7 linked regions of the Danio rerio genome follow. The protein of the gene in region 1 interacts with the protein of each later gene in a pairwise test. Links are inferred from orthologs where the notes say so. Each region holds a gene or a part of one and is shown on either strand. Other genes may lie near its edges.

Region 1 (4,632 bases):
CAAGTTACTTCATTATATTACTCTATTATTAATAAACATTATTATCAGGGATGCACTGATCGATCTACCGGAGATCAGTATAGAAAGATAATCACAGTTCATGACTTGATCGTACTCTCATAAACTGATCCCAAGTGTTTGTGTACGAATTTACACAAAGAGCATGTGGCACATGCACTCATCAGCAGTGCTACAACACATGAAGCAGTGAATGATGTGTGTGGGCATGAGTGATCTCTGCGCTCCCAACACAGCAGCTGTCCTGGGGTTTTTCTGCTGCTATCAATAGTTGGAGATGAGCAAAATACTAGAATGGCCTTGCAAATACACTTGTATCTAGGCCTTTTTGAGGTGAACTGAAAGTTTTGTGTTTTTGACTATTGCAAGTTCACTAAAACCTGGCTCTAAATATCAGGGGGAAAAAAAGTAAAACTTATTAAAACTTTTTTACTTTAATATATTTAATAATATAACTTGTAATATTCTTGTTGCAATAAACAGTAGTTTATAGGCCTATTTTCTTTTAGGAAAGACGTAATGGATTTAGAGTATAGGTCTGCAATTGAACTTCTTATGCATCAAATATGCGCTCCAAACTTTTTCTTCATGTTGATTTTCTTTCATCATTTGGAATGTTTTCAAAAAATATTATTATCTGTTTTATCTGTAATTTTCTGTAAAGCTTCTTCAATCATGTTTAAGGGATATATCCAACATGCTAAAGGAGAGATCTCCACTTTATCATATATGTATATATATATATATATATATATATATATATATATATATATATATATATATATATATATATATATATATATATATATATATATATATATATATATATATATAAAAGTAATGTAAAGCTTAAACCATCAGAATCGGTACTCTGTATCGGCCAATCACCATGACACACAATCAGAACTCAACATTGGCTGCAAAAATCCTGATCAGAGCATCCCTTATTATTATTACATCTTGTAAGTATTACTTATTATTAGGTCCACACAGAATCTACGTGCTCAGAAGTTGGCAAATTTCCGTAGATTTTTAACCCATCGAGTCTATTCCTTGTGCAAATGTGGTTAAACTTATACTTTTTAAATGAATTTCAGTAACATTATAAACAAATGTAAAAAGTTTATTTACAATACAGTTTGTAAAGTAATATGTTGCCTTTTGGTAGATATATTAAATGAGAGACTTGCCAATTAAGTGGATCCTATTAGATTTGCATTGTTAAAATTAAATGTTATTGGAGGTATTATTTTTATTTCATATATTAAGTTTTTTTAGTTACGATACTCCCAAAATCATTCCGCATAAATCTGCAGATTTTTTACTAAATCTTGCGCAAAAATAGCTAAAAATGTAAAGTGAGTAAATTTTTTGTTTAATTATTTAGGTTTTACAAAATAAATTGCAGAACTAATATGAACATGCAGTATACCCATGTTGAATAACGCTCCCACTGAGATAATTCACTTCCCATGGGAACAGACAGAATAATAAAAAAAGTTCTAAAAGAGATCAAACCTCAGCTACCAACAAAAAAGTAACCTAGACCTTCTATAAAAAGTAACCAAGTAACGCAACTAGTTACTTTTTTGGGGAAGTAACTTAATACTGTAATGCATTATCAGCAGCAGGGTGGATTACTGTAATGGCCTCCTCACTGGCTTTCCCAAAAAGACAGTCAGATGGTTACAGCTCATCCAGAACACTGCGGCCAGGATTCTGACCAGAAGCCGGAAATCAGAGCACATCACACCTGTCCTCAGGTCTTTACATTGGCTCCCAGTTACATTCAGAATAGATTTAAAAGTTTTATTACTTGTCTATAAATCACTAAATGGCCTAGGAGCTCAATACATTACAGATATGCTTTATGAATACAAACCTAACAGATCACTCAGATCTTGAGGATCATATAAACTAGAAATTCCAAGAGTTCAGTCAAAGCAGGGTGAATCAGCTTCGAGAAATGATCAGATGTGTTCCAACATTAGGCACGTTCACATCAAGACCGAAAACACATTTGTTTAGCTGTGCCTTTACTGAATAAGCACTGTGCTACGTCCAACAGATCGCATTTTTTTCTGTTTTTCTCTTCTTTTTCATTCTTTTATGACACATTTGATCGTTTTTTCTGTTTTTATTATTTGTTTTTATTTTCCTGTACTTGTTTCTTTTATTCATGTTTATGCAAAGCACTTTGAATTGCCACTGTGTATGAAATGTGCTATATTAATAAACTTGCCTTGCATTACTTTCAAAATTAACTTTACCCAATACTGTTAGTTTTCTTGTCTTCTACACAAGAATTTGAGGATTTCTAAATACTTTAAGAGTGACTATCCTGTCAAACAAGCAAATAACATCTTTTAAAATGGGTCCAGAAAACCCACAGCACTAACCTGAAGTACAGTTGCTAAGGATAAGTGTTGTGAGTGAGTATCGGGCCTGCTCTCTATGGATGGGTTATTGATCTGCGTAAAGAGGGCAAGTCAGGCCTTTCCCTGCGGGCCCTGCTGCTGTTTACACTTACTGCCCTAATGATGAACCACAGCTTCTCCAGCCCACATCCACATGCCAGATCACACACACACACACACACACACACACACCGCCTGCCTGCCAAAAATACACGCAGCTTTATTCACCATGAAAATGAGGGATACGGCATGTTTAACATTTCACTTTCTCCGAATGCCGACAGACCGAGTTGTCTGTACCTGTTTTCGCACCACACCCAAGCAAACTGAGACTATATCTGACTGTCAAATCCACGCACACACACAAACACACGGCGAGCTCAGCACTCCTTCCCCTGGCATGTCAGATGTTCATCTGTATATCAGCCACGCACTTTATGCCAGTCATCTCCGCCTGCAAGCACAGTCACGCTCGGCAGGCGTCTTGTCAAGTTGTATTCACTATGATGGAAGGACGTGTTGATTCCCATACCTTATTCCTCGCTCTATGTTCGCAGCCGCAGCTGTCTCCAAGTTGCAGAGAGTTTGGGATTGTCAGAGAATCAAGAACGTGTGCAAACTGAGGGTAATGGAAGTGGGTTATTTATTCCTGTACAGGTTTTATCAAGGCGTCTGCCCTCTACTGGCCACAAGGGGAGAAAGAGAGAGAGAGAGAGTGAGAGAGAGAGAGAGAGAGTTGGGGGGGGGGGGGGGGGGGGGTGGTGTTGGAAGACATTTGTACTGAAGCAAGGTAGCTATAATAAAAAAAAGTCCATTTCGTTTACTCTAGTCTACATGCTAAAGTTTAGTAAAATGTGAAAGGTGTGGAAAATATATACGTTTTGCATCAATATATAATTCTTAAAATATATTCAATTGTTTTAATAGCAAGCTTTCAAATTACAAATATAAATTTATTTTAATATTTAGATTTTGCAAGACAAAAAAATTATTATCATTAAATGATTTTTTCATTTTCTACATTTTTAAAAATGTAAACTTTCCATTTTACATTTATTTGCATATAACAAATATGTGAATAATACAAAATAATAATTCAAGTATTAATTTCAACAATACATATTTTTACGGTTAAAAATAAAGTATTAGTTATTTACTTTTACTATTAGTTTTATGGTGAAATATAAATTCATAAATATCAGTTTTTGGGAGTTATATCACAAAACTTTGATTTGGCAGATAAACATTTCAGTTAAATATTGAGATTTTTATTATATCTATATTATTAATTATAATATAAATATTTTTATTGTAATATACATTTTATTTATTTATATTTAATTTATTAAAGTTTTATTTATACCATTATTATTTTTAATTTTAATCTGAATTGTATAATTACTGTAAGATATCTGTTTAAAAGATGATTGACCCACATTGATTCATTCATTTTCTTTTCAGCTACCCCAGTTATTAATCTGGGGTAGCCACAGTGGAATGAACCACCAATTTATATAGCATCTGTTTTACGCAGAGGATGCTCTTCCAACTGCAACCCATCAATGGGAAACACCCACACACTTCCATTCACACACACATATACTATGCCCATGCAAAGACGGGGTGAACATGCAAACTCCACACAGAAATGCCAACTGACCCAACCAAGGCTCGAACCAGCGACCTTCTTGCTGTAAGGCGAGAGTGCTACCTACTGCACTACCGTGCTGCCCACGACACACATTATTCTGTGTAATACAAAATTGAGTAGGTCTACTTTAATAAATGTTCAGTCAGATTTATTGTTAACCTAAAGCAATGGTCTCATTGTCTAATTGGCTAAATTGTCCATATGTATGTGTGTGAATAGGTGTTTGTGGATGTTTCTCAGTGAAGGGTTGTGGCTGGAAGGGCATCGGCTGCGTAAAAACATATGCTGGATAAGTTGGTGGTTTATTCCTCTGTGGCGACCCCAGATTAATAAAGGGACTAAGCCAAAGAGAAAATGATTGATGAATAAACAAAGAAACATATTTTGAAAAAAATTTGAAAACCTGTAACCACTGACCTCCATAGCAAGCAAAACAAATACTGTGAAAGTCAATAATCTTTTTCAACATTTTTCAAAATATCTTCGTTCTGAAAGAAAGAAACTCATAAACATTTGAAACAAGCACAGGTTGAGTAAAATTTTGGC
Region 2 (4,681 bases), on another chromosome or scaffold:
TTGTTGCTGCTGTTGGCGACACTTTGCCCTTCGGTTTTTGAACCAAACCTGATGTGTTGAAAAAAAGGGGTTTTTATTATTTACGACGTGAACTAACGGCAGCACTATGGTCTTTATATATGCTCTGTTTGGTCTTCGCTCAAAATAAAACAAATGTGATATTGATAATATTTTAGTGCATCGCTCAGTTCATATAGATACAATACTTTTATTATTATTATAATTATTTAACTTTCTCATGAGTTGAAAGATGCGTACCTGTACACGGGACTCCGGCAAGTTGATTTTCAAGGCCACCTCCTCGCGCATGAAAATATCCGGGTAGCGTGTTTTCGCGAATAAAGCCTCCAGCACATCTAGTTGCGCTCTAGTAAATGTTGTCCTTTCTCGTCTCTGCTTTCGAGGAGTCGCTGTTTTAAATAAACAAAAGCATCACAGGTTGTCATTTAATAAAAAACGTCCATGCTTAGATTTAATTATTAAATGTAAAAAATACTATAAATATTACACATTAACATATCTGAATCGGCACAGTACAACATGTTATACAATGTTGAATTGTACATACAATATGTTAAAAATTGTTTTATTTAATGAAAGTTTCATTCAAAATATTCTTTAAGTCTTTTACTTTTTGTTGCTGCACTTTAAATAAAAACTGTGTAGGCATGTTTTTAGAATAAATATATTAGAATAAACACAATTTTAATTTACCAATTGCTGTGTTTTAAGGTTTACAGTTTTTACAATTTGAAATTATATATTAGTTTACTCAAACTCTATTTGAAAAGAATAGAACCGTCTCATAATTGTGCAAGCAACTATGTTTAATAATAACTTTAATTTTAAGAAGCCTCGGAAGTGTAAATGTGGGATTATAGCAAGGATAGCAACCAGGCCTAGTATATACATTTAAGCACATATAGCAAAATTCTTACTACATATACCTGAATCTAAAAAAGCATTACTGTTGAATACAAATTGCATTGCAATTGACATAATATACATAAAATGCTAAAATCGGAAGCTTTGCTCACCTGGGTATCCAACGGAGGGGTGCAGAAGATCCATCCCGGAGGTAGTTAAACTTAGCCCGTTGACCGTGTAAGGTGGTTGCTTGAGATACGACATCATGCTAAAGATGGTTGTGGGGGGTAAAGTTGGAGAAATTTCGGAAAGCTGGAAACCGGCTGCTTCGGTCTCTTTTCCTTAGCGCACTTCTGCTTTAGCTTGTTTGCGTCTTCAGCGGTGGAGGTAAAACTAAAAACCCTGAAAAATGACACAGATAAAAGAGAGACGTTCACGTAATTGCGGCGACGCAAATTGTATGTTCGGCGTTTGTCATTTGACGGAAACTGGGTTCCTTTAGCTGCGATGACTTATCGGCGAATAGAGCACATCTACACCGCAACGTGCTCTTAAAGCCGCTCCAGACCTCCAGCTGTCCTCATGAGATGAACGCAGCTCATCTTGACAAACGCCCCCCGTCCCTCCCCTTCCTCCCCTCTCCCCACCAGACCCAAAAAAGTAACATCCATTAATTGCAACAAGTTTTCACAAAGACAAAACTCCGTCGTTCAAATGTGCACACAAGCCAGAAACACAATTTGCATAGGAACCCGGCTAATTGTCTCAGGCATACAAGCACTGATTGGGAGCTATTGGTGGAAACAAAGGCCACTGTTAGCCTGATAACTAATGCTGATAACAAAAGCTCCATTGGAGAGGGACAAAAGTAACCTCTCCTCATATACTCGCTCACATTAGTCAGAACAATAAACTTATAATTATGTTTTAGTAGTTTTCAGAAATTAACTCTGTTAGTTTTAACTAAGAGTCAAATTATTGACTCAACTTTAATCTTTTCAGTGTTTCATCAAACATTTTGTAACTTGATAAACTGTAGATGTTTAGCTGATGTGGTGTAATTACTTTAGATATTAATGTATTAGAATAATAATAGTAATAGTAATAATAACCACCAAAGCAAATTTACTGAACGAAAACTTATTAGATGTTATAACATTTAAAGAAAAAAAAACTATCAAACTAACAAAATTGAGTTTCTTAAAAAAGGTTATTGAGTCAACAAGCAAAACTTTAGGTGAACATAAGTTCAGCGTCACCCAAAAGACAATCCAGTCTGAATAAATGTTGGAATTATTATAAAAAAATAAAATAAAAAAAACTTCTGGCTTATTATGCAAAAATCTATTTTTTTTATCCAACGGTTTCGCCTCCCAATCTGTCACTTAAAACAGTCACCGTCTACCAGTTGCACAGCCGCTCAATAGTAATTACCTCATCCAAGAATTAATTATGATAAATGTTGTTGTTGATAAATTAACGAGATAATCCGTGTGGCACGCGCTCCCCTAATTACTGGACGCTACCTCTTCAGCTGAACGTTTGGCCTCATTGATTCTGTGCATGACTACAATAAAAATCACACACGCGTGCGCGCTCGCACACACATGCTTTCTCATACACTTCAATGGTACCGGTGTCTCTGACATGATACATAAACTGCTAAAATTAAACAAAAGACATTAAGACTATAAATATCACATTTGTGTTTGAACAATATAAATCAAGCGGCAGGTAAAGACAATATAAATGCGGCCTGTTTTTGTATAGCTTGACGTTTATAATTGATATTAAAAATAAAATAGGCTAACTATATTGAATTATCTATTTTGTTCGTTCATTATTCTCTAAACGAATGAAATGAGCGATAAAATCAATCAGTTATAGCCGTGGACTAAAATTGTTTAAAATGAACATGCATCTACAAGTCAAAATGTCTCAGTAAATAGCTATCGATATTAAGTCGATATTATAGACTTTTTTTTTACACTAGGCCTATATTAATATATACAATGACTCGTTTGCCGATCTTTTAATAGCTTAAAAAACGTTTGAGCCATAAAAAAAAGATGCTTAGATTGTAAAGAAGGTTAATTCACCAATTAATCATGGTGACGATGATTATATAGTGTCAATAAAAATAATAAAAATAGTTATAGTCTACTATTCGCAAAGTTTAAGGCGTAATAAAGAAAACATACCCAACAACATAAGGCGGGATACTTACTGAATAACTGGATTCAATCCGATGCCCGTTAAAGTTTGATGTCCGATAGCGAATACAGCTCTAAATTATTAGAAAAATATTCATAACATCAGGATAATATCCTTTTCTTCAAACCGTGAAGCAAATGAGCTATGATGAAGCGTCTACTGCTAAACACGAAGAATGGATAAAATGGTTTTGAGAGATTAAAGCACATACGGTTATGATTCGCTGCTCTTCTGGGTTGAAGTTGCTGGAGTCTGATTTGTACAGCGCGCTGGCCAATGAAGAGCTCAGGACTGGAGTCTGTTTCTCTCGCAGGGCCCTTTGCAGGGAAACAAATGTCGACAGCTACTTTTTGATGCAAACTCTCCAGCCAATGAGAGCGAGGCCCTGGCGGAGCGCATTCTCATCTCTCACAGTGCAAGCAATGTCAGTTTATGTTGTAACATTAACTCGTAGCGTTATGATTAAAGTGGAAAGAAGAACTATTTCTTAGTTTTTACACTCCTTTCGTTAAAAATTGAATTTTTTTTGTTTGCTTGATGTAGAATGTGCAGATGCGGTGACCCCTGGTAAATAAATGCAAGTTTGTATTCGTACCACTCCAAAAAAGTTGCATAGGCAACAGCAGTATTATTTATATAATCTCAGACATAATTACCAATCCCAAGAGAAAACAGCAGACTTAATCTTTAATTATTTCACAAATATAACACCGGGGATAAATCCGGAGAAAACAAATGTTGAATACGGACGCAGGCAGAGCTCTTGCATTTGTGTTGCGTAGCTGGAGGGATTTACGGGGACTTAATTCCTTAAAACTGTCCTCTCGTCCACATGACGCTCAAACTGCAAGTGCTCAAGCTGATATACCCAAACGTATCAAGAGATGAGTGCACCGCATAGCCATGGGGCTAGATTAGGGCCTTTTATAAGACATGTAGAATACACGTGAAACCAGTGTGGAGTGGCGCAACGAGGAGGTGAATTTGGTACCTTGAAAAATGTTCAAAACAACACGTTGCCAATATTCACTTCGAGAAATGTCTATCTGGATTCTTCTGTGTGGGAGGAAAGCCGACTCTATCATAACAGCTTTAAGACTATACATTTAAGATATCCTGAGAAGTAGGGAACCTGACAAGCACCCGGGTGACTCGAGAAGCACGGACAAATGAACTACGGTGAGCAACATATTCACAAATATTTTTGTTTAACGCGTGCTCCTTTTATTGCATTTAATGTATTACACTTGTGTTTAAACTTAAAGCGACCATTTACAAAACAAATTTTCAACACATTTGCTACTTTAATTATTTTTTAAATTTCATCATCATTATTATTATTATTATTAGTATTATTATATTGTTGATGTTGTTATTGTCATTTTTGATTCGTATTGTTCTAATTTCAAAATCCAATTTTTTTAAATGATCAGATTCTAATAATTTTTTTAGTTCAGACACTACCATTTATTATTATTTTATTTATATTCTTAATAAAATGTTGGTCATTTTAAAAGGTTAAGGTTAGAGTATTTTGCTGTAATTCAGTATATTTCTACAAAATGACAGACATATCAAAACTAAAGAAAAATAGTGCTAA
Region 3 (4,664 bases), on another chromosome or scaffold:
ATCGCGATCACTTCAAAATGGCGGAATCCGGGGCTGTTGCTCTTGGTCATTCTAAGCTCTTAGCATAAAGTTAAATCATAACAGTTACCATGGTGTCTATTTCAAACTACAGTAAACTAAAGTTTGAAACTATAGTTTAAAATAGACGATGAGTGGGCCTCGCTACTCCCACCCACCATAACCCTCGCAGCGAGGTCCCACTACCGGCCCCCCGTGTTTCCCTGAGGGTCCTCGGGGGTTGTTTGTTCCCTGCCTAGGGCTCAAAGGTCGCCTCGCCCCAGGGAGTGCACGAGAAAACCGGGCGCCAGGCCGTGCCAGTATTCACTGGATGTTGCTCGGCGGCACATTTCGAGCAACAAACACGTAATATTCCTTGCGATGTTGCGTTTATGTACCGAGTGAAGCTTCAGGAAGCGGACTTCGTGAGATTGGCGTGGCTCCACTCGCAAAGTCGGTATTGAACTCACCTTGGTCAAGTTCAAACAGCAACACTGAGCGAACTGACAAGGCTGACAGAGAGCACACGAGCTTTATAGGAATGCATATGCAAATTTTTACAAGGCACGTAAAAACTGCTGTTGCGTTGTCATGGCGAACGCTGAAGAGGGCTCATCTGATTGGAGCACACAGACTCGTGAATCTGCGTCACGGCGAATTGCCGTCTGCAGTACACAAAAATATATTAAATATATTCAATATATATTTTTTTACATTTCTGGTGCTGTGTAATATTCTGGGATGCAGTAGAATATGGAGACAGATGAATATAATTGGCTATATGCCGAGCAAGTGTTGTTCCCATATACTTATAAACTTCCGGTGACCGGTTAGTGTGAGTTTTTTCCATTTTATACGGTTCCTTTTACAGCATTCATGTTGTAATGTAATTAAAATACATTCAGTTAAATAAACTTTGGCATTCATTTAGTTGTTCAAGCGTAAAACGAGACAAAAGGCCTTTTACTCGCACTCGCCCGTCAGAATCGGCAGGATAGCGCAGACGCTCCATTGAATATACTGGGTTAAATATATGCTCATATTATAAAGACATGGCGGGGAAAATGTCATTTAATGCAGTGCTTCTAGTACAATCCGAGACCCACTTCATATCGGAAATCACTCAGCCAGTGGAGATCGCTGATTTTTAAAGAAAACTGACCTTAAAAACGTGCAGCTTTTTCCTTTGGCATACAGTTCGCCGGAAGCGCTTAACCCAGGTTACTGGCAAATTAAAAGTCCCATTAGCATGCTTCCAGAATGTCTTTCGAAAAAGAGTACGGGTTTAACCCCGGCATCCTGGCCAAATTTATCCACTGGCCTCTGTCCATCATGGCCCTTGGGTTGACTTTTCCGATTTCATTAAAAAATTCTTATTTCCAAACTTCTGTATTTCCCCAAAAAATGTATTATTTGGTCACTCTCTGAGTGTAGATCTTTCTCATTTTAAATCAATTATTGATTTTTTGCTTTTTTTAAAAACAAAATTTCACATCCATAAATGTAAATTTTCAAAGAAACACCCGTACTTTTTTATTTTCAGAAAGGACTTTGAAATGTATGTTCTCCAGGCCTGCAGATGTCGCTTCAGGTGGTTTGAACGACGCACGAGCGCTGCTTTGAAGTACAGAGGAAGACGTGCTGTAAATGGCTGCCTCCATGTCGTGAATGTGAGACCGACAACGATTAACGTTTTATTCGTCTCCCCAGTTTACTAAGGACATAAACGTGCCATATATCGCAAAGGTAAGACTATTTTATAGTTACTTATTGTTTATAATTCGAAGGATGAGTAATTACTCGGTTTGAAACCGATCGCTTTGAAATCGCTTCCCTCTCAGTTTATTAATGTCATCGTAAATTGATGAATGAAGGATCAAACAGCTCCATTTAAATTAACAGCATATTTACTGGAGAACACGGTTATATTAGTCACGTGATGTTATGAGTGGTCTGGGATGTATGATATATTTGGTATTTAATTGTCTGTGTTCTCTCACGAAGCAAATGATTGACATGTTTGAACTTTCAATAGATTATATAACTTATTTTTTTGCAAATTTAAGAAACGTGTGCCTTAATCATGCTGATGCACAAATTACGACATTTTATCTTATTTATTGTGAATTCCCAAACAATACCCATTGAACTATAACTGAATGCGATAATAATATAACTGAGCTATTTCAAATCTGTCAAAATTCACCCCAAATTAAACAAGACGCTTAGAATAAATAAACCCTATTTGTAGCATTATTTTCGTTTTTATAGCTGTAATTAATCCAGAAGAAAAGTTTTTGACATAATATATATGTGTGTATTGTGTATACATGCATGCATATCTTTGAGTAATCATATATAGTTCATCAAAAAATGAAAATTCTGTCTTCATTTACTCGCCCTTCACGTGTTACAAACCTGTTTGGATTTCTTAATTCCGTTCGACAGAAAAAGAGATATTTTGAAAAATGTTGTAAGCCGGTAACCATTGACCTCCATAGTATTTGTTTTCCCTGTTATGAAGGTCAATGGTTACCAGTTTTCAGCTTTCTTCTGAACCATCTTTTTTGTTTAACAGAATTACGAAAGAAACTCATAAAAGTGAGAGTAGAGTCCCAAATTTCAACATCGTTTGGCAAAATTCACCCAGTGCACTTTTAAGAAGTAACCAACTAGCTGTTGTTTTTAGCCTTTTGCAGTTCAGACTGATTTGCGGTTTGGCATCAGCCGTCACTTCCTTCCAAATGAAGGACGGCAAGGAGAACTCCAACGCCACCTTCGGAAGCTTCACCACAAATCTGGACCACACCAAGCCATGCTGGTACTGGGACAAGAAGGATCTGGCCCACACCCCGTCCCAGTCAGACCTGGACCCAGCCACAGAAGCGCGGTACAGACGAGAGGGAGCCAGGTTCATCTTCGATGTCGGAACACGTTTGGGATTGTATCCTTCAATGCTGCTATTTGTAGACTGATCTAAAGATGTTGTGTGTTTATTTATTGATTTAGACTGAATAAGGCTGAAGTTTAAATGGTGTGATGATTTCCATTTGGACCTTAACCATTTTTTAAGACATTATGACACCCTGGCGACAGGAATAACATACTTTCATCGGTTTTATATGTTTCATTCTTTCAAACAGTTCCCCCGATATGTAAGTACAAGCTGTTGTTGAAAGATATTTTTTTTTACTGTTTACATTTTTAAGGAATTGCTCACCCTCCTCTTGTTTCAGAGTTTTTTTCCTCTGTAAAACACAAAAGGAGATATTTAGAATAACATTGAAAACTGGTAACATTGACTGCCGTAGTATTTCTTTTGGTACCTACAATAGAAGTCTACCTTAAACTTCATTCATTCATTCATTTTCTTGTCGGCTTAGTCCCTTTATGATGCTGCGTTCACAACAGACGAGGTACGCGCGTCAAGCGTGACTGATTTACATGTTAAGTCAATGCAAACGCGCAAATAGACATCCTGCGGCGTGATACACGCGAATGGCGCGGAGCGAATGACACAAATAGCGCGAATGGCGCGGTGCGAATGGCGCGATACGCCCGAGGCGATTTGAGCGTTTTGCACATTTGACGCGCTTAACGAGCGTTTCGCGAGAATCTTTCGAGTTCGAAAATCTGAACTTCAGCGGACATTCGCGCAGCGTTAACCAATCAGGAGCTTGCTCTTGTGGGGGCGTGATTGTGACGTAGAACCTGTTGATGGTGTCCCAGGGGACATCCTCCAGGCGACAGCGACAGCGACAACAAGACATCAAACTGGGCTTGGCTCAGTCAGAAGCACCGCTGAAAGCCTCCGTGATCCAGGTTCAGTTTCTGGAGGAGTTTATGAGCTCACAGAGCAGGATGCACCTCTGAAAGGATGCAGTGGACTCAGACACGACCCTAAACGTATTGACGCTGTTTTTCAGTCTCCATAAAGCACATTAACACTGTTATTTTCTTAATAAAATCCATGTTAGCCATTTAGCTATGAAGCTAGAGTCACCGGGCAGACAGAAGCCCTGCCCATCACGCGAATCCGCGTCTGTTCTGAAGAGCATTAATCTGGGGTCGCCACAGCGGAACCACCAACTTATCCAGCAAGTTTTTATGCAGCGGATGCCCTTCCAGCCGCAACCCATCTCTGGGAAACATCCACACACACATTCACACACACTCATACACTACGGGCAGTTTAGCCTACCCAATTCACCTGTACTGCATGTCTTTGGACTGTGGGGGAAACCAGAGCACCCGGAGTAAACCCACACGAAGGCAGGGAGAACATGCAAACTCCACACAGAAACGCCAACTGAGCTGAGATTCGAACCAGCTACCCAGCGACCTTCTTGCTGTGAGGCGACAGCACTACCTACTGCGCCACTGCCTCGCCACCTTAAACTTCAGCCGTTTGCATTTCTCGCAATCACAGAAGCTCCCTGTGATATTAACTAGGTGCAGCTGGAAAAGTGCAAGCGTGTTGCTTCATGCGCGCAATGGAAAATGGCGGACGTGAAACGACAAACTAAGTATATGGTGACGCTCCAGTCGATCAATATTGGTGGGAGGGGGGACCGCACTCCTACATCAAGTCGGTCTGAAAACCGCTCCAATTGATCCACCGTTTTTATGTTGTTAAATTGAAAAAAAAAGGACTGTGTGTGTGTGTA
Region 4 (3,993 bases), on another chromosome or scaffold:
TCCCACTCTTTCATTAACAGCAGATTCAAGGACTTTCAACGACTTTTAAAACTGCCACCACCATGAAACTTCTTACTGTACTCAACAGTTCACTTACACTTAAAATTAACAATAATACTGTGTGCATAATGATGAGTTTTTTGAATGAAGAATTTTATTTTAAATAGCCATGTTCAAAAACTTTAATAAAATTTGTCGAATTCGATACTAATTAAGAATTTACCTCTTTTTTACAATTGTTTTTACAATTGTGGAAATAACAGCATAATCGAATTTCATTTAAAATTTAATTCACAAACCTTAAGGACCTGTTTGTTTTTAAGTACCTTCTAAAAGTGTGGGAAGCTTGTTTTAGTAAAAAAAAAAAAAAAAAAAACTGCAACAAATAGATGACGTGTAATGTACAAAACAATTTGATGTGAGAAGAGTTTAAGAAAAAAAGTTTAAAAACCAGTAAATACGTATTATAATAATAAATTATAAATGTATGTTTACAGCAGTTCAATAGTTATTCGTTTCCATATTTACAGACTTAACAGTGACTTATGGAAAATAATCTAAATATATACTTTACATAAGTTTTTGGAGGACAAATAAAACATCTAAAGTCAACATAAAAAAGTGTGTCTAGCCATACTGATACTTAGATTAAAACAGACATTAATTACCTTTTTAATGGTTACATGCATCTAAAACCAGTTTTTAGAGATTATATTTATTATTCTTGGTGTATTCATCTCTTCCAAAACAGACATGAATGCGCATTATACGGTTCACTGCACCAAATTGAAGACTACATAATTGACAATCTTAACATCATTGTGAACAAAAACTTCAATAGTACAGATCAAATAATACAGAACAATGTTGCTATCTTTACGCACTTGCTCAAAGGCAAACCCAATTACTGTGGTACCACTGTTCTCCACAATTAGCACAGGTCATAAAAGTCATAGAATCATTATCTGCACTGCCACTCTGCACCCAGGATGGCAAGAAAAGAGTCCCTCGTGAGATTTGAGTCACCCTGCAATCCATACTGTCACATTGCCTGCAGCGAACTTTATTGGTAGGGGTGCCTTCAACTGTTTCTGGCAACTGATGCTCACTGATGGCCAAATTAGTGTAAGTTTCTCTGAGCTGTCGAAGTTTCTCACCTGCCATTTCCTCTACAGACATCTGGGCAAATGCATCTGGAGTCAGTTGTCCTGAAATAAGGCCTTGGCGTAGGTGGGGGTTGTTTGGGTTCTTTAGGTTGGCAACCTTGCTCCTAATATGAAACTTGAACTTATGCTGGTTTCGTCCATGAAGAGCATGAACATGCAACTCAATGTTCTCAGCAAGGGCTTTGAGCTTGTTCATATGACCTGGGTCTGTTTGTTGGTTTGTGCCAAGAGCCTGAAGAATCAGATGGACACATTTGGATCTCAGTGCTGTAGAGTCACAGTTAGTTGTGTGCTGATTTGTGTTTTGAGGAACTGAGGTTTGAGCACCTTCCTCTGCATCAGATCTATTTGATTCCACGGCTGGAGTGAGGCTCTCTTGCTCAAGCTGTGGCTGGAGAGATTCTGCAGATTCAGTTGCTATACAAAGTTTTTTAGAAGATGCATTAAAGCATACATTATTACATTTTCCCTGGTTTGCATCCTTTGTTATATCAAGCTGCTTTGTGTTACATGCTTGACTCTCGTTCACTTTTTCATGTAAGGGCTGAAATCCATTGGTTAAAAATGGAAATCCCAATGGTAACTCAACATTAGACATGTTATGCGTCTCTGACTCTCTGTTTGGCGTCTCTAATTCCTTGTCCTCCCGTGTGTTTTTGTCATTATTTTTGAGTAATATTGCATGTGACAAATTGTACAACTTCTTCCATTTTGTCAGCAAGCTTTTTGCTTTTGTTTTAGCACTCAAAACAGGACAGGACTTAAGCAGTCTGTAAAGAACTTTTACAATATCTGTTGTCTGAATCTGCTCTAACGTGACAGAAGTGATGTCGAGTTCAGTCAGTAATGATATAACATCTTCATAACTGCCGTCCTCGTGCAACCTTTCGATTTGTGTAGCATAATATATGATCTCTCTAGTATGCATGACGTCTTCGAAATTAAGGAAAATTAAGGAGTAGCGTTACACCTGGAAAATACTGTTCTTGAAGAATCCGAAGCGTTAGCTTAGTTTTCAAGCGTAATAAAAATATGTCCGCTAACGTTATCTGAATTGCAGACAAACACGTATCTTCTTTATTAACTAAGCAGTAAAACATTTTTTACAAAGTCGCTACTTCTACAGCCATGTATTTCATCAACGCAATGCAGTTGTTGTTGTTGTTCTTCTTCTTCTTCTTGCAAACTTTGGCAGCTTTACTGAATTTCCGCCACCTAGTGGGGAGGAGGGTGAGGGGTTGATATAGAAAGGAATACAGAAATAGACCAAAGCAAAGAAATGGGGGGAAAAGAAAATGGTAAGCTATTTAATCAAATACATAAATTAAACTTGTCTAAGTAACAATGTCTTTTAAGATACTTTAGGTATACTTTAGTTTTTATTAAATTAACATCTTTAGTTATTAAATTTATTAATTCATTCACTAATTTTCCTTCAGCTTAGTCCTATTATTCATCTGGGCTTGACACAGCAGAATGAACTGCCAACTTATCCAATATATGTTTTACACAGCTAATACAGCACCTATACACCTCATAGCTTATACACCAAGTGCATGTCTTTTTCTGTGGGACAAAACTGAAGCACTCGGAGGAAACCCACGCCAACACAGGAAATACATGAAAACTCCACACAGAAATGCCAACGGACTCGAACTGGGACTCAAACCAGTGACCTTCTTGCAAGGAGGCGACTGTGCTACCCGCTGCGCCACCGAGTTGCCCGTTTATTTATTTAGTTATTCAATTTATTACTTCTTTAGTGTTAGATTTAAACTTCCTGCATTCTTCATTTCCTCCATAAGCTGAGATCTTTCCTCATTATAACTATGACAATTAAAATAACACGCTCAACTAATTTTGGATTTCCACATATACTCCACATACCTGTATCGTGTTTGCCAATTTCAAACAGTGATTGGTTTAATGCAGTGAGCCCAATTCGGAGGCATGAGATTGTCATCCCTTCTTTTGTCACAAACCTGTCATACCCAACTTACCTCATTATTTGATACAATTGTCTTCCCCTTTCTTCCTGAGTCCATGTCTGTCGCCATCTTTTTTTTACTGACTTTAATTAAACCCTACATTTCAGATTTGCCCAATGGGACATTAACATTTTAGAGAGTATACTTTAGTGCTTTCTTTGCCAACTCGCACACTATTTCATACTTTATACTTTAACTCCCAAGTGATATATTCTGTACAGAGTCTGGAATATTTCAATAAGAATGTCCTGTCTTGCTAGATACTTTTTTCTTTTTCTTTTTAATTAACAATGCTTAAACAATAACAGAAAAGCTTTAATACTTTTTTTTTTTTTAATTTACACAAAAAGACTGAGATGACAATCAATTTGCATTCACAATCTTTTCATTCACAATCTTTTCATTCACATTAATAATAACAATACACCATAAATAAATAAATAAATGAATGAATGAATAAATAAATAAATAACAAAAGTTAACAAACAAAATAAATAATTGAAAAAGTAGCAGGGGAGATGAAGTACTCAAATTCTAAAACCAATATGCTATCACATATTCATCTTTAAATACCACCAAAAATTAAATTTTATGAATATAGAATTGTAATAATGTCAACAAGTTATTTAATATAAAGTGCTCAGCATACACCCCTCACAAATTTATCTTTTAAATTCACATTTTTAATATGAAGCTATAAAATATCATATTTGTGCATATACATTAGATTAGTCAGCACTGAAGCCAAATCTTTAGCTTATCTAACAAAATAACTTACGATAACGTTCCAAAAACTAGTACACCCAAATTGATATGATATAGAAAAATATTAAAAACAA
Region 5 (4,598 bases), on another chromosome or scaffold:
TTTATACAAAAATATTAGTGTAAAAACCATTGCTTTTAACAAACATAACTTGGAACCTGTAATTTTAATAAAAAAAATAAAAAAATCAGGAAAGAACCAGCTGAAAAAAGAAAATATTCTATATGAAAAATTATCTTTGCTACTGTTGCTGAAAATGCTAAATATAGAAATCTAACATTACAACAGATCATATGTATCTTCAATTAATGATTCAACAATTCACACATAAAATTTCATGTTTCATTATAGGTGGATCATTTTTAAAAACCTAGTCAGTGACATCATTTTGATGGTTGTTTGTCGCCATCTATTTACTACACACTGTAAAATTCACCAGCGTCACGTTTCATTAAACAGTGATTTTAATCTTTACCATTAACATCAGTGTTTATATCCGAACTATTAACTGTTCTCCCAGAACTTTTGTGTTATTTAATTGTTTGTAATGAACTGAAAAAGTGTAAAACTGAATCTCTCGATCAAACGCAGATTTGAATGCAGCGCTTATAAGGATCAATAAACATTTGCAAATCACTATCATTCATGTTTCTTGGGTTTGAACGATCTTTTAACATTTTATTGTGCAGCTTAAACTGAATGAATTAATGCAGGCTAAACAAACAGTTACAGAAAACACCTTTAATTAATAGCCTAAGAAAGCATTTAGGTCAAACAAATTTTTCCGTCATCATTATATTTTACAAGGAGGCCAAAATGCTTACATACATATGATTTGAAAGACATGGGAGCCGATTTCTCTGTGATTGTTATACTGTAAATGTTGGATTAACCTACGATTTCAAAAAAAGTTATTAATCCGCGAGTCACATGCATTATGAACTGTGGGTTGTGATCCGTAAGGATTATGGATCAACCGATATCCGTTGCACCCTTAGTATATGTTAGTTATGCATAGGTTTTTAAAAATAGCTCGTATGTCCAGTGTTGTGTTTGTATTTATGATAAATTTATGTAGCACTGTGGTCCTACGAAACAACATTTTGTTCCTCTGTATGTCCACACATGTAGCAGAATGACAATAAAGCTCAAATTAACTAGACTTGATTTAATTACAATATAGTATTAATGAATTAAAGTGTTCCCAAACATATGCATCATTCCTACAAACATTATAGGATTTGATGGTCTGCAATGTAAAAATAAGAGGATCAAGTTTAAAATTGAACAAAAAGATAAATATTTTAACTTTTGACTTTTTGACTTTGATTAATCCAGATAAATTGGCAATTTATAATTAGATTCTTTATTTTTTCCATAGCTGTACACTGTAAAAAGTCTTACTATGATCTACTCAATTATTTTAACTTTTATTTTTACTGTTTTCACAACATTAAAGGAAACCTCTGGGCATTTTCAATCCAGTTTGCAAGAGAAAAAAAAAAATATATTTTTTAATTTTAGTTTGACAGTTAATAATCAGCAGCACAAACATCATAAATATACACACACACTAGAAAGATATAGATAATTAACACACCCTATAATTACATTTCTAATAAAAATTGATCAGATTTTACAACCAAAATTCATTTCACTCTCCTTGGTGAATAAAAATATAATCTAGTTTCCTCTTCTTGCCTTTAAGCAGGTTCTTCTTTCAATTTAAGTTGAAATACGACCCAAAGACATGTTCTTGACAGGAACTGAAATTCAAGTTACTACAAGGCTGTCAACAGCAAATTATTTTTATCCCTGATGCCACGTTGTGAAGTGCAGTGAGCCCTCCTCCCACTCAGAAAGCCAGGAGAGGAGATCTGGGGGAATGCCTTCATGTTTACGCCCATTTCACCCCATGGTGAGCTGGACAACGAGTTACGTTGGCACCATAACCCAGATACTGTTGACATGGCAGTGTGGCAACCACCACACTGGAGGGCATTTTATCGTCATGAGACAGGAAAATCCATAAAAATAAACTAAAGACTTTCTTTGGATTTATTTGGAGTATTTGTATTCACATTTGTTGATACATTCCTTTACATAACTTTATACTACATGTATTTATATTTACTAATTCGTTACTGTACATGTTTTTCTTAAATAGTATATGTGACTTTGGACCACAAAACCAGTCATAATTGACAATTTTAAAAAAAAAAATTAACATTTATGAATTCTCTGAAAGGTGAATAAATAACCTTTTGCTGATGGTTTGTTACAATGACAACATTTGGCCGAGATATAACTATGGAAATCTGAAAACTAAGAGTTCAAAAAATCTAAATACTGTGAAAACCTGTACAAATTAAGTTATTAGCAATGCATATTACTAATCTAAAATGAATTTTTGATGTATAGAAATGTATTTTTAATGTAGAAAATGCAAAATGTCTTCATGGAACATGATCTTAACTTAATATCCTAATGATTTACTTTTGGTCTATAAGGAGAAATCTAATCATGACCAGTATAAAGTATTTTTATCTATTGCCAAAAATATAACCGTGCAACAAAAGACTTGTTCAGAAGGTTTTGTTGTCTATGATCACATATAGTAGTAGCAAATAAAAAAACTATAAACAACAACACACTGTTTAAAATGTAATGTAATGTAAATGTAATGTTGATTTAACTTGTTTGAATATGCTAATCAGGTTTCAACTAAATTTAAGTAATAAAAACTTTAATACTATAGTCAGTTTGCTTGATGACAAGAAAACTTCATTAGATTTAACTATAAAAATTCAGTCAGTATGTGAATATACATATCCTTAATTTCCAATAATAAGACACGTTTTAATCTAGATTATAAAACTAACTTGTCTTTTTGGCCATTTTGAGCAGTTGTATCTGTCTCTAAACCACATACAGAGGTAATGCTGAAGTAAAGGTACGTTTTTGTGTGACAAAAACCCTCAAATCTTACCCTAATCTGGCTTTGCTTTCCTCCGGGGTGAGCTGGTCAAATGTGGTGGCCTCCTCTTTGCCCAGAAAGGCCTCGTGGTCGTATTGATAACTCTGGTTGTCTTCGTGTGTTTGTCTGCTCAGTTCGGGCTCGTGGTGAACTCTTTCTTTCCTGAGAGTGGGTTTTCCTTGCACAAGACTCGTGCAGAGCGACAAAAGCCACAAATAGGTCGAAACCTCCATTTTTAAAAGGACGTAATTCAAAGAGGGACCTCAAAAACTGTTAGGCGTTATCATATATCGCCAAAATCACAAGAAACTGCAGCTGCCAGAAGAACACCTTTCAATTGTTATCAACTGGGAGCGAAACAATCCCAGTCTCCAGAACACAAGTCGGATCTTTTCATTTTCGATTCAAACATGCCCGGCGGATCACTAAACGCCACAACCAAACACCGAATGGATGCGTGTCAGCGGACAGCCAATCATTGACTGGCTAGCAAAGAAAAGTGGAATGTTAGAAGCTCTGCTATTGGGCTTGGGGCTGTCTGTAACTCGAGATGGGCGTGGACGCCACGTTGCAAGATGACACGCAGAAGCGCCTTGGATGCATTTTATTTTAGGAATGCCATAGCGGCTGAATGCAACATGATGGTATTAGAATGTAAGCCCAAAGCTAAAATTATGTGGTATTATTATTAGGGAGTTATTTTCCAGAGATTTAAAAGATGGACATATTTGCATCATACAGCTGTAGAATAAAAGTGTGGAAATCTTTGATAAATAGTTATTTTTATGCAAAAATGCTCGAAATTACAATATAGTTATGGCATTAATACAAACTACTTTTACATTTTAAACTAAAACTACTTCTTAAAAACGTAAATAATATATAATATATGAATAATGTTTTCAGTGATTCATTTATTCATTTTCTTTTCAGCTTAGTCCCTTTATTAATCTGGGGTTGCCACCGCAGAATGAACCGCCAACTTATTCAGCATATGTTTTATGCAGCGGATGCTCTTCAACCTGCAACTCAACACTGGGAAGGTTTTTGATGATTTTTTTATTAGAAAAATTAACTATCTTTTCAGACTTGTTTATACTCATAGACAACACAACATGTTTTAACTTAAGAAAAGTAAAGAAATTATAATTAAACAAATAAATCTCTGAATGACATAATAATATTTTATTAAGTTAAAGAGTAACATGTTACTCTAATAAATCCAGCGATACTGAGAATTTTTAAGTATTTCTATGATCTACTCAATTGTTTTGGTGGAACTATTTTACACTTAAAAAATATTGAGTAAATTTTAAAGTCATGAAATTACTGAAACAAACTTTAAGAATATATCCTCTTTGCCCACACTCACAGGCCACTTTATTAGGTACACCTGTTCAACTGCTTAACGCAAATTTCTAATCAGCCAATCACATGGCAGCAGCTCAATGCATTTAGGCATGTAGACATGGTCAAGACAATCTGCTGCATTCAACCCGAGCATCAGAATGGGGAAGAAAGTTGATTTAAGTCACTTTGAACATGGCATGGTTGTTAGTGCCAGACGGGCAGGTCTATGTATTTTAGAAACTGCTGATCTACTGGGATTTTCATGCACAACCATCTCTAGGGTCTACAGAGAATGGTCTGAGAAAGAGACAATATCCAGTGAGGGGCAGTTCTGTGGGCGCAAATGCCTTTTTAATGCCAGAGGTCAGAGGAG
Region 6 (4,769 bases), on another chromosome or scaffold:
GAATCAACATTTTGAAACCAAAAACGAGGATAAATAAGACTTGTTTTCCCATAAGGCCAAGTATTACAATCTAACGGTGTTAAAAAGTTACTATGTAACATTTAAAAACTTTACATTTAATTAGAGAGTGAGCATCATGCTTGACTGCTGTTGTGGCATGAATCAACCTTTTGTTTGGAGAAATGAACAATCCTGCCTAAACAGATGGTTAAAGTCCCATTTCTGGAAGCACAATGCCTGGAGCAAAGTCTGCCCATAGTTGTACGTCAAAGACTTGTGGACTGTGTCTAAGCCTTTAGATTTATCTATGAAAGGCCAAATAATGTAAATGTATCCATGTTTTAGCTATAGTTGCATTTAAAGCTACTGAAATTAATAAGTTTAATAATATAAAGATATCTTAAAGACTTATTTTGAAACTAAACAGGATTTACTTACGAAAAAATGGACTCGCAGCATAACAGCTGACAAAATGTGTATTCAGTATGTTAGTGTTCATTCATTTGAATTATATTTGATTAAAATTCTGACTACCACCAAATAATTACATGGGAAAAATAGATTTTCAATTTCTTCTATGTGAAAACAAACAATCATAACAATCAAATGACTCTTAATTTGAGCTGGTTCTTATCATGAGTCACTTAAAAAGTCGAATTCATCGTATTTGTTGGTCAACAAATGATTTCTGACCTGAATAGCAGTGTCCAGAAAACTGACACACTTTTCACATTAGCCAAAAAACTGCTAATTTTATTTTGTATAAAGACATGAATGTTGGATAATTTTTATCAAATGTCATTAAAATGTTATTAAAATACTGTGAAACAATTTCAAGAATGCAAATTTCAAATGTTAAGATCCAAAAGACAAACAAAATGAAGCCCATGCATTCCAATGATGAACAAATGACTCTTATGAGTCGTTTTTTTAATGAGTCACGCAAATCTGTTGAATTCTTAACTGAATGAAAAGTTTGTTCATAAAAATCAATATTAATAATACTTGAACACTACGTTAATAATAAGCTACAATATTAGCTAAACATTTTCAATTGCATCTAAAACATCAGGTTTTATTTTTTATTTTTTTGTATCCCACGTGTGAGCAATAAATCATTTTCAATTTGAACTTAAAAAATTGTCTACCAATAAATAAACATTTCAAATAAATTTCTTATAAATTACGAAAAATCAAACACAGCCTGACAGGTTGCCTGTAGCACAACTCTTATGAGCCAATTCTTTTAACGAATCACACAAAAGATTCATAACTTAGAATCAACGTGTCAAATTATTCAATGAATGAACGCTGAATTTGTCAAGAACGGTTTGAATCAACATCTCAGTCAATGAACTGCAGGTTATTATGGTTAGTTTAAGTGAAATTGAATAATAGAATTAATATATAAAATTTACATTTTTGTTACTAAAAAACATCAATTAATCTTCAGAGTCACGGCTAAAGACATTATATTAATTATAAAATTGTTTACAACTTTTACAAGGCTATATGTTTTAATTTGTCCTTATCCATTCGTTCCTATAAGACTATACTGCGCCACAGTAATAAGAAACCCATATTTCAAAAGCAGTAGCAGTTTAGAAAAACGAAGTAACGACTCCTGGGAGCCGAATCATTCAATGAGTCACTCAAAAGCCTCATAACTTGGAATCAGTCAAACACCAAATGCTTCATTCAATGAACAGACATTTTCAGAAAGGGTTGAATCAACAACTGACTAAAATACGAACTGCATTTTTAGTGAGTAATGTCTAATGTTATATATATATATATATATATATATATATATATATATATATATATATATATATATATATATATATATATATATATATATATATATATATATATATAACGCTTCAATAGTATGAACATCATGTCATGACTTGAAAAGCTAACTATTGATGTTTGTAGTGAAAAGGAATCTGCCGCTACGAGCGAGTGCAAAGTAAGATCTCATCAAAGTCCGAAATAATAGTTGATGATAACTGCGCCAGGTCTCAGGAGTGCGTAAAATAGCCCTACAACTCTATGTACCGCACTTCCTGTACGCAATGGGCATACAGTAGTGCTCTGACCTCTCATTGTATACCCAAATCAGCCCTCCCTGATCTAAAACTGCAAAAGCACGACACACTGAGAACGAATGCAATAAAGAGAAAAGACTCGAGAATTTGACAGAATCTGTACCGTACCGTTTCAAACATTTTAGGATGTCCGACGCAATCTGAGGAGGATTCTCCGATGAAGCTTGCTCGTCCTCTAGAAAGAACTTTTGGTAATATTTTCTCCAAGAGCTCTTCGTACAGAATCCGTTCGGAATCCAGCGGAAATCTAACGCCGGTGCGAACGCAGCGCTATATAGGTCGCTGTGGCTTTAAAAACTCGCCTAAAACACAGACTGCTATAGACACTTTCCACAAAAGCTACACAGGGGAGTCAGTCAAGGCTGCGTCCTTACCTTGGAAGACATAGCTGTAAATGTATCTTCAGCCCTCTTTAAAACATGAGATCGATGGTGGCGTGTCTTAGCCTCGCTTTTTTTCTTTCTTGCTCCTTTTTTGTTGAAGCGTGAGAGTGCGTTGAAGGCACAGCGTTCCAGCCCGAATAACAGAGGACAGCTGAACAAGAATTCTTGCTCAAGGCTCTCCAAACGCCCCGGGGCAGGATTAGGCTACAATTAGCTCAACCCTGCCTGAGCTGGGGCGAGTTACAAGAACAACATTTGATCTTGCTATTCGCATTTGGGAGGATGCGTATGTGTGTCTTTTCGTCGCATTTATCGTCATTTATTTATTCATCGTCTGAACAAAGATATGATGAGCGCGCGCGCGTGTGAGGATAACGGTTTACCTGTGTGCATGTCTTTGGCTAACCTTCAGTGGGAAAAAGAAGAAGGCTGTTGTATTAAACCACTTTACCCACAAAATATAGCCTACTGTATTTTCTAACTACGAACGTCTTTTTTGATTGATGTTTCTATTTTAATGGAAGAATTAATTTGCTTCCAAACGTGTCTCTCGGCGCCCTAATAATGTTCTGCTGGCCATGAAAACTAAATGACGTATATCGATATGCATTGTGCCTCTGCAAAGGCGCCCACACAACCGCCTCGGGCCAAACGCGCCATTTCAATTTTTGCGCGCGGCTAGATAGAGATGTCTGCCTCGATGGCACACAGATTTCAGGTGGAAAGACGGGCGCATTGTGCTGAAAAGGAAAGGCTTTAACAAAAAGCATATTTGACAGTTTTAGACCCTTTTAATACTACTCTCCATCTCTTGGAAATGCCCTGTGCCTTAACATCTGGCGCCAACCAGTGACCAAAGTGAACGCAGCCTACAAACGGGTTTACAGCATTTCCACAACGAATATATTCAGAGTTCTGTATGAATATAGGTTTATGTCGACGCTTAGAAAAAGGTAAATTGAAATAGGCTAAAAAAATACAACAGTTTTAGAAACAGTAAAATAAAAATAAAAAAATACAAGCTTTAATGTTTGTGGGACATTTAAAGTCAAATGAGATAACTACACATTTAAATCATGGGTCTCAAACTGAATTCCTGGAGAGCCGTAGCTCTGTTTTGCTCCAAATCTAATAAAACACACCTGATCCAATTAATCAATGTGTTCAAAAGAGTCTTGATTAATTGGATCAGGTGTGTTTAATTAGAGTTGGAGCTAAACTTCAGATGTGCGGCCCTCCACGAATTCAGTTTGAGAACTATATAGGCTATAATTTAAATAAACGTTTCATGACCTAAAAGTCGCTTTTATGTGCGTTCTTGTTCTTGTTTGATATCATATAAATGCTTCAAGGACACCAGAATTCATATTTCAACACATTTGACACTTGCAATGTTGTCCCTCTGGAAATGTTTATTCTCTACCTTGACATCTGGCGCCAACCAGTGACCAAACCTACCACAACCGTTATTATTTTTTGGCCTTTTTTAAAATTTAGTTTATTATTTAATTTGCAATGAGTTAATGTATAACAGGATAATGGTTAAAAGTAAAAAACAGGGGAAAACACTGTAAAAAGATGCAGGCTTCCACACAATTCCTTCCTGTTGTCCCAACAAAAGTCGAATAAGTTAACATCATTGTTTTTGCAAATTTAAGTTAGTTTTACGTAAAACAATTAAATTGTCCCAAAAAGGCTTAAGAATTTTTGATTAAGCTCATTTCAAAAAGTAATTTGAACAACTAGTAAAAATATGTTTTTTTAGTGATAACAAAACGGTTCCTAAAACTGACTTTTTAAAATTAAAGATATAGCATTAATGTTCATGAAGAACATTTAATATGGGCCCTTTTTATTCTACAAGATTCTTTACTTAAAAAAAATATAATGTTTGCTGTTTGTTCAAACAATTAATTTAAAATGAGCTCAATTCTTGAGTTTTGTTTTTGGGACAACTTAATTGTTTTATGTTTAATCCACTAACATTTGTTAAAAAAGAATAAATTAACTCAGTTCCCTTATGTTGCCCCGACACAAATCGATTGTGAGGAACCCAGCATTTTTACAGTGTGGAAAGGTTATAATGGATTCTTCAGATTATGAAAATGTTCATACAGTACATAAAAATGGTTCTTTGAAACACTTGAGATCACATGAAATGTCTTGTTCTTCCTGAGACCTTAAGACGTCTTAAACGTTTGAACTAGTCTATCTGTGCCTATGTTTAAGATGAGATGAATAATTTGATTTTAAAAAGAAATATATTAAAATGAAA
Region 7 (4,099 bases), on another chromosome or scaffold:
TGTGTAGAAAATAGGGATGCAACGATTGTAGATTTTGGTTAACCGATTATAGTCGGAGAAATAATCATGGTTTCATGGTTATCATGCTTTCATTCATTTTAAAGTCACCACTAGTTTAGAAAAATCACATGAAATTATTGCTACTCAGTAACCACATAATACAGCACAAAATAACATTAAAAACAAACAATAGTCCATTTCTCTATTTTTACACTGTATATAAATGATAGAATAATAAATAAATGAATTTAAAAAATGTATTTATCTAATGCAGGGCTTAACATTAACTTAAGGGAGCACCCATCAAAAACGAATGAGCACCACTGCAAATTACAGATTTATTGTATTTTAAAACAGCATCAATGCGGACTAACAACAACCAGAAACAACTAGCTTATTCTGTTATTGATATTTGTGCAATAATTTCAAATAAATGTACAATAATTATAAAATATTAATAATGATGACGACAATAATACTAACATTAAATAACATTATTATGCTACCTTGAATGAGAGTTATGTGCTATAAAAAGTCCTGCTGTTACTTTGAGAAAAAAAATCTATGGTTTGCATCAAACAAAAATGAAGCACTGCAGTAAGAAATATACATTTTGTACTATTGTTTTTATAAGCATGTCACTATAATAACCAGAAGGATAGGACAAAAGAAAGGAAGAAAAGTCTTACTTCTACTACTCTTTAAAAGCTTCGGTGTGTCATTTTAAATGCTCAGTCTTGTTTTCATTTTTCCGTGTTTGTGGAAAAAAGCAAGAGAGCCGGCCCAATATATGTGGCGCAGAGCAGCAAATCTCACGATGACCACCTGCACAGTACCGTTCTGTCATGAGTCGAAGTTTCAGTATAAACTTTGTATAGATCTTTGCCGAAGAAGCTCGACTTTACTAAGTTTGATTTTACATTTAGCATCCATTTGTGCTGAACACGCAGTGAATGCAACGCATCGAGATTCGGGCTATTAGACAGCCAATCCACTCCGAGTCTTTCTGCACTCTCTCTGTAAGCACTCGATTAATCTCCGCTGGTGGATCAATATTCACCACATTATTGCTCTCATTGACACCAATACTTGTAACTTTAAATGGGTTTGCAAACCTGTATACTTTTCATTGCTTCGTCCTTAAACTTCAGCCGTTCCCTCCATTGAAAATAATGAACTTTCACGAGCTTGCCTTAGTTAATAGCCTCAGTCATAATTAATTCAGTGTGCATGGTTATTAGTCTCAGTGTACAAACTAGCACACAGTTTGCATAACTTTGTTTAGTTGCTGCAGTTTTGTTCTGTGCAGAAACGCGGTGTTGAGAAGCCTTTACGATTAAATAACCATGACGAATTAAAGCGCGGTTAATAGTGAAACCGGTTATTGCATCTCTAGCAGAAAAATGGGCATTTAGATGACTAGGTAGAACAGTTGGTTAAAAAGCCTAAAGGAATTATTAACATTTAACAAAAATATTTAGTTAAAATGCTAAATGGGGAGTTTAAATAGGAAAACAGAGGGTATCAGTAACAGTTCTAAGCTCAATATCAGTCAAAACCTACAACCAGAGCTAGGTGAAGAGACTGGAGTAGAAAAGATTTACCTGCCAATCTCTCCAACTCCTCATGTGGTGTGGACCGTAGACTGCTGGAGCGGCTGCCAGAGGGACTTCTGTTACTGGAGAACCAGCGGCTAAAACGGCTGGCCATGACTGGACCATCAGCAAGAACATCTTCAATCATCTGGAGGAGGAAAAAAAAGAAACCAATTGTTTAAACGGTTACAGCATAGAAGCAGGAAACGGCCTTGGGGAGTGAGTGACACTTACGTGAAGAGTGTCTGCAGACTGCTTAGCACAATGGGGTGAAAATGGGCATTGTGGAGAATTGGTTCAATTACAAGAATCCCACTTAAATTCCAAATAGCAAGTCTAATTTTGTACAGTCAAGATGTGCATCCCCAAAGTTTCAACAGAGTTATTACAATCCTTATAGAGTCAGATGGGCATAAATTTGCATTTCATTGAGCTTTCAGTAGAACAAAACTTAACAAATAGCTTGATGCCATACAACCATAAAACCAACAATTTCACATTTCTAACAGCAATGTCATCATCATTTGAACCATTCTGCAATCATCAGTACATAAAGTACTATTGTTACATCAATTCATTTAGTGGGCGCTTCAAAAGATTTATAATCCATTACAAAGAATCACATTAGAACATAAGCCAGAAAGAGACACTACTGAAGAGATGTAAAAAATAAGAGAACCTTGAATAGTAGAGAGTCCTGTTATAGGACAGGGACTGAGAAGAGTGATTAAAAGTCCCCAGAAAGCACCTAATAACCTCAAACGTCTCTCAACCTTAGGTGTGATTTGCTGTGTACTGCTTCTCCCTTTAAAGACAACCCAGATATTCTGTGCCAATCACCCATAGAAACATGCAGTGCTCCCCATATCTTACCGAAGCCAGACCAGGCATGGTCTTTTCAAGATTGAAGAACTCATTGAAGTCAAAATCTCCAGGGGTTTGCTCAGGAAGCTCAGCATGTGGAACCTCTTGATCAGCTCCTGACTCCCGAACTACTTCAGGGCCGTCTGAAAGTCCACCATTGCATTCAACTATAGAAAAAAAGAGATTGAATAAATACAAGCCCACCGATGATCGCACTTTTGTTTGAGACCCGTTTCCTACAGCACATGCCTTCTTTAACGGACTCTGGCCTCTTCTTGGAACGTTTGGTCCTCCGTTTGTCATCCTCCAAGATTTTGTCATCAAAGCCAATGAGCTCAATGGTCTCAGACTGACTAGTGGGTCCACCAGAGAACCACTCTGGCTCCTCTTCTGCATACGAGTCATTTCTTCTCCTCTCACTGAACACTCTTTTGTCTCCAAAATCTCTCTGTAGAAGGCAAACAACATTGTCACTGTGCAAACACTACAGGAAATAGATAAGAACCTCTGCATCAATTTCTAGCACAATACCCTAAATCGCTTATCCTTGAAGTCACGCTCTCGGTCTCGCTCCCTCTCTTTGTCAACCCGTGCATCCCTTTCAAAAACGCGTGATGCCATGATGCGGCCACTGCCGATGCGTCGTGCTCCCCCCAAACGGAGAGACTCATTTTCTTTGTTCTCCAGAGGGCTGGTGGGTCGGCGAGGGAGGGCGGTTTGTGCAACTTGACAGCCACCACCAAAACTACGACGTTGCGGACTTAGAACCACCTCTAGATCATCATCTTTTACACGTTCCCTGGGATCTGAGGAAGAGAAAGATCATTTAAGATAAACATCCTCCAGCAAACGGGTTTTAATGGCACCTTATTTGATTTGATGAAGCTATTTGTTCAATTACCTGCAATTCTTCGTTTAAGTGGCACCCTATCGTCTACATAGTCTTTCTTGTAACCTTCTGTAGGACAACTGGACTCTGAAGAGGGATATAGTGAAGCATGCCATTTTTCAGGATCCCAGACGCCATCGCTATGAAGGAGACAGTACAGTTAATGCATAAAATTATAAAATAATATACAAGCCTCAGATAATTTAAAAGCCATTCTAAGATGTCAAAATATAAGCCACGTTTTAACAATACTTAGTAAAGTCAAAAGACAAATGACTACAGTAAGTGAATTCTTTTCAATTAATTGAGAGGAGCAGTTTGTTATGTGCTCCAGAACCACTGGTAAGATTAGGATAACACTAGGGGTCCATTCTTCATACCTTGCTTAAATGATCCAAGATGATTTGGCAGATCCTGAATCTTTTAATCTTGATATCTGATCTTTGGCTAATTTGGATCAAACAAGTTTGCGATTCAGATCAAAATATCTGCATAAACTGATCTGAGATCACTGCATGTATCAATCCTTGAAATCATGATCAGCAATACAACGACTGGCTGATGGCACAGCAGCATAATGACATCATCTGATTAATATTTAACTTTGGCTTTTTTTGTGGGCTGCAGGCTTTTCACATTCATGTGTCAAAAGCATTAGGCAATTTATTTAGCTATACATTTAAAACAGATTTTCTTTATTATAGTAGCCTAGGCCTATTCAAGTTTATTAATGAATTTTGATATCAGTTAA

Evidence for each region.
Region 2: the proteins of atxn1a (region 1) and otx2b interact in binary tests that used the Homo sapiens proteins (3 or more experiments, as listed by UniProt). The link is inferred for Danio rerio from reciprocal best matches to the Homo sapiens genes ATXN1 and OTX2.
Region 3: the proteins of atxn1a (region 1) and ccnk interact in binary tests that used the Homo sapiens proteins (3 or more experiments, as listed by UniProt). The link is inferred for Danio rerio from reciprocal best matches to the Homo sapiens genes ATXN1 and CCNK.
Region 4: the proteins of atxn1a (region 1) and tceanc interact in binary tests that used the Homo sapiens proteins (3 or more experiments, as listed by UniProt). The link is inferred for Danio rerio from reciprocal best matches to the Homo sapiens genes ATXN1 and TCEANC.
Region 5: the proteins of atxn1a (region 1) and rcn1 interact in binary tests that used the Homo sapiens proteins (3 or more experiments, as listed by UniProt). The link is inferred for Danio rerio from reciprocal best matches to the Homo sapiens genes ATXN1 and RCN1.
Region 6: the proteins of atxn1a (region 1) and kctd15a interact in binary tests that used the Homo sapiens proteins (3 or more experiments, as listed by UniProt). The link is inferred for Danio rerio from reciprocal best matches to the Homo sapiens genes ATXN1 and KCTD15.
Region 7: the proteins of atxn1a (region 1) and eif4enif1 interact in binary tests that used the Homo sapiens proteins (3 or more experiments, as listed by UniProt). The link is inferred for Danio rerio from reciprocal best matches to the Homo sapiens genes ATXN1 and EIF4ENIF1.

The regions. Positions count from the first base shown.
Region 1 is NC_133194.1:34,709,867-34,714,498, reverse strand, and holds the start of atxn1a (ataxin-1a), read right to left. Parts: upstream 3,052-4,632; 5' UTR 2,968-3,051; intron 1-2,967. UniProt on the Homo sapiens protein: Chromatin-binding factor that repress Notch signaling in the absence of Notch intracellular domain by acting as a CBF1 corepressor. Binds to the HEY promoter and might assist, along with NCOR2, RBPJ-mediated repression. Binds RNA in vitro.
Region 2 is NC_133192.1:49,233,081-49,237,761, forward strand, and holds the start of otx2b (homeobox protein OTX2), read right to left. Parts: upstream 3,223-4,681; 5' UTR 3,095-3,222; intron 1,270-3,094; 5' UTR 1,135-1,269; coding exon 1,038-1,134; intron 411-1,037; coding exon 259-410; intron 49-258; coding exon 1-48. UniProt on the Homo sapiens protein: Transcription factor probably involved in the development of the brain and the sense organs. Can bind to the bicoid/BCD target sequence (BTS): 5'-TCTAATCCC-3'.
Region 3 is NC_133195.1:5,223,479-5,228,142, forward strand, and holds the start of ccnk (cyclin-K), read left to right. Parts: upstream 1-1,638; 5' UTR 1,639-1,743; intron 1,744-2,440; exon of another isoform or gene 2,441-2,569; intron 2,570-2,686; 5' UTR 2,687-2,741; coding exon 2,742-2,941; intron 2,942-3,070; coding exon 3,071-3,152; intron 3,153-4,664. UniProt on the Homo sapiens protein: Regulatory subunit of cyclin-dependent kinases that mediates activation of target kinases.
Region 4 is NC_133176.1:39,099,749-39,103,741, reverse strand, and holds tceanc (transcription elongation factor A N-terminal and central domain-containing protein), read right to left. Parts: upstream 2,340-3,993; 5' UTR 2,095-2,339; coding exon 889-2,094; 3' UTR 715-888; downstream 1-714.
Region 5 is NC_133182.1:15,827,289-15,831,886, forward strand, and holds the start of rcn1 (reticulocalbin-1), read right to left. Parts: upstream 3,303-4,598; 5' UTR 3,109-3,302; coding exon 2,888-3,108; intron 1-2,887. UniProt on the Homo sapiens protein: May regulate calcium-dependent activities in the endoplasmic reticulum lumen or post-ER compartment.
Region 6 is NC_133200.1:21,631,346-21,636,114, forward strand, and holds the start of kctd15a (BTB/POZ domain-containing protein kctd15-like), read right to left. Parts: upstream 2,955-4,769; 5' UTR 2,498-2,954; coding exon 2,486-2,497; exon of another isoform or gene 2,232-2,485; coding exon of another isoform or gene 2,220-2,231; intron 1-2,219. UniProt on the Homo sapiens protein: During embryonic development, it is involved in neural crest formation. Inhibits AP2 transcriptional activity by interaction with its activation domain.
Region 7 is NC_133181.1:43,485,566-43,489,664, reverse strand, and holds part of eif4enif1 (eukaryotic translation initiation factor 4E transporter), read right to left. Parts: intron 3,489-4,099; coding exon 3,361-3,488; intron 3,266-3,360; coding exon 2,991-3,265; intron 2,908-2,990; coding exon 2,709-2,907; intron 2,627-2,708; coding exon 2,469-2,626; intron 1,744-2,468; coding exon of another isoform or gene 1,605-1,743; intron 1-1,604. UniProt on the Homo sapiens protein: EIF4E-binding protein that regulates translation and stability of mRNAs in processing bodies (P-bodies). Plays a key role in P-bodies to coordinate the storage of translationally inactive mRNAs in the cytoplasm and prevent their degradation.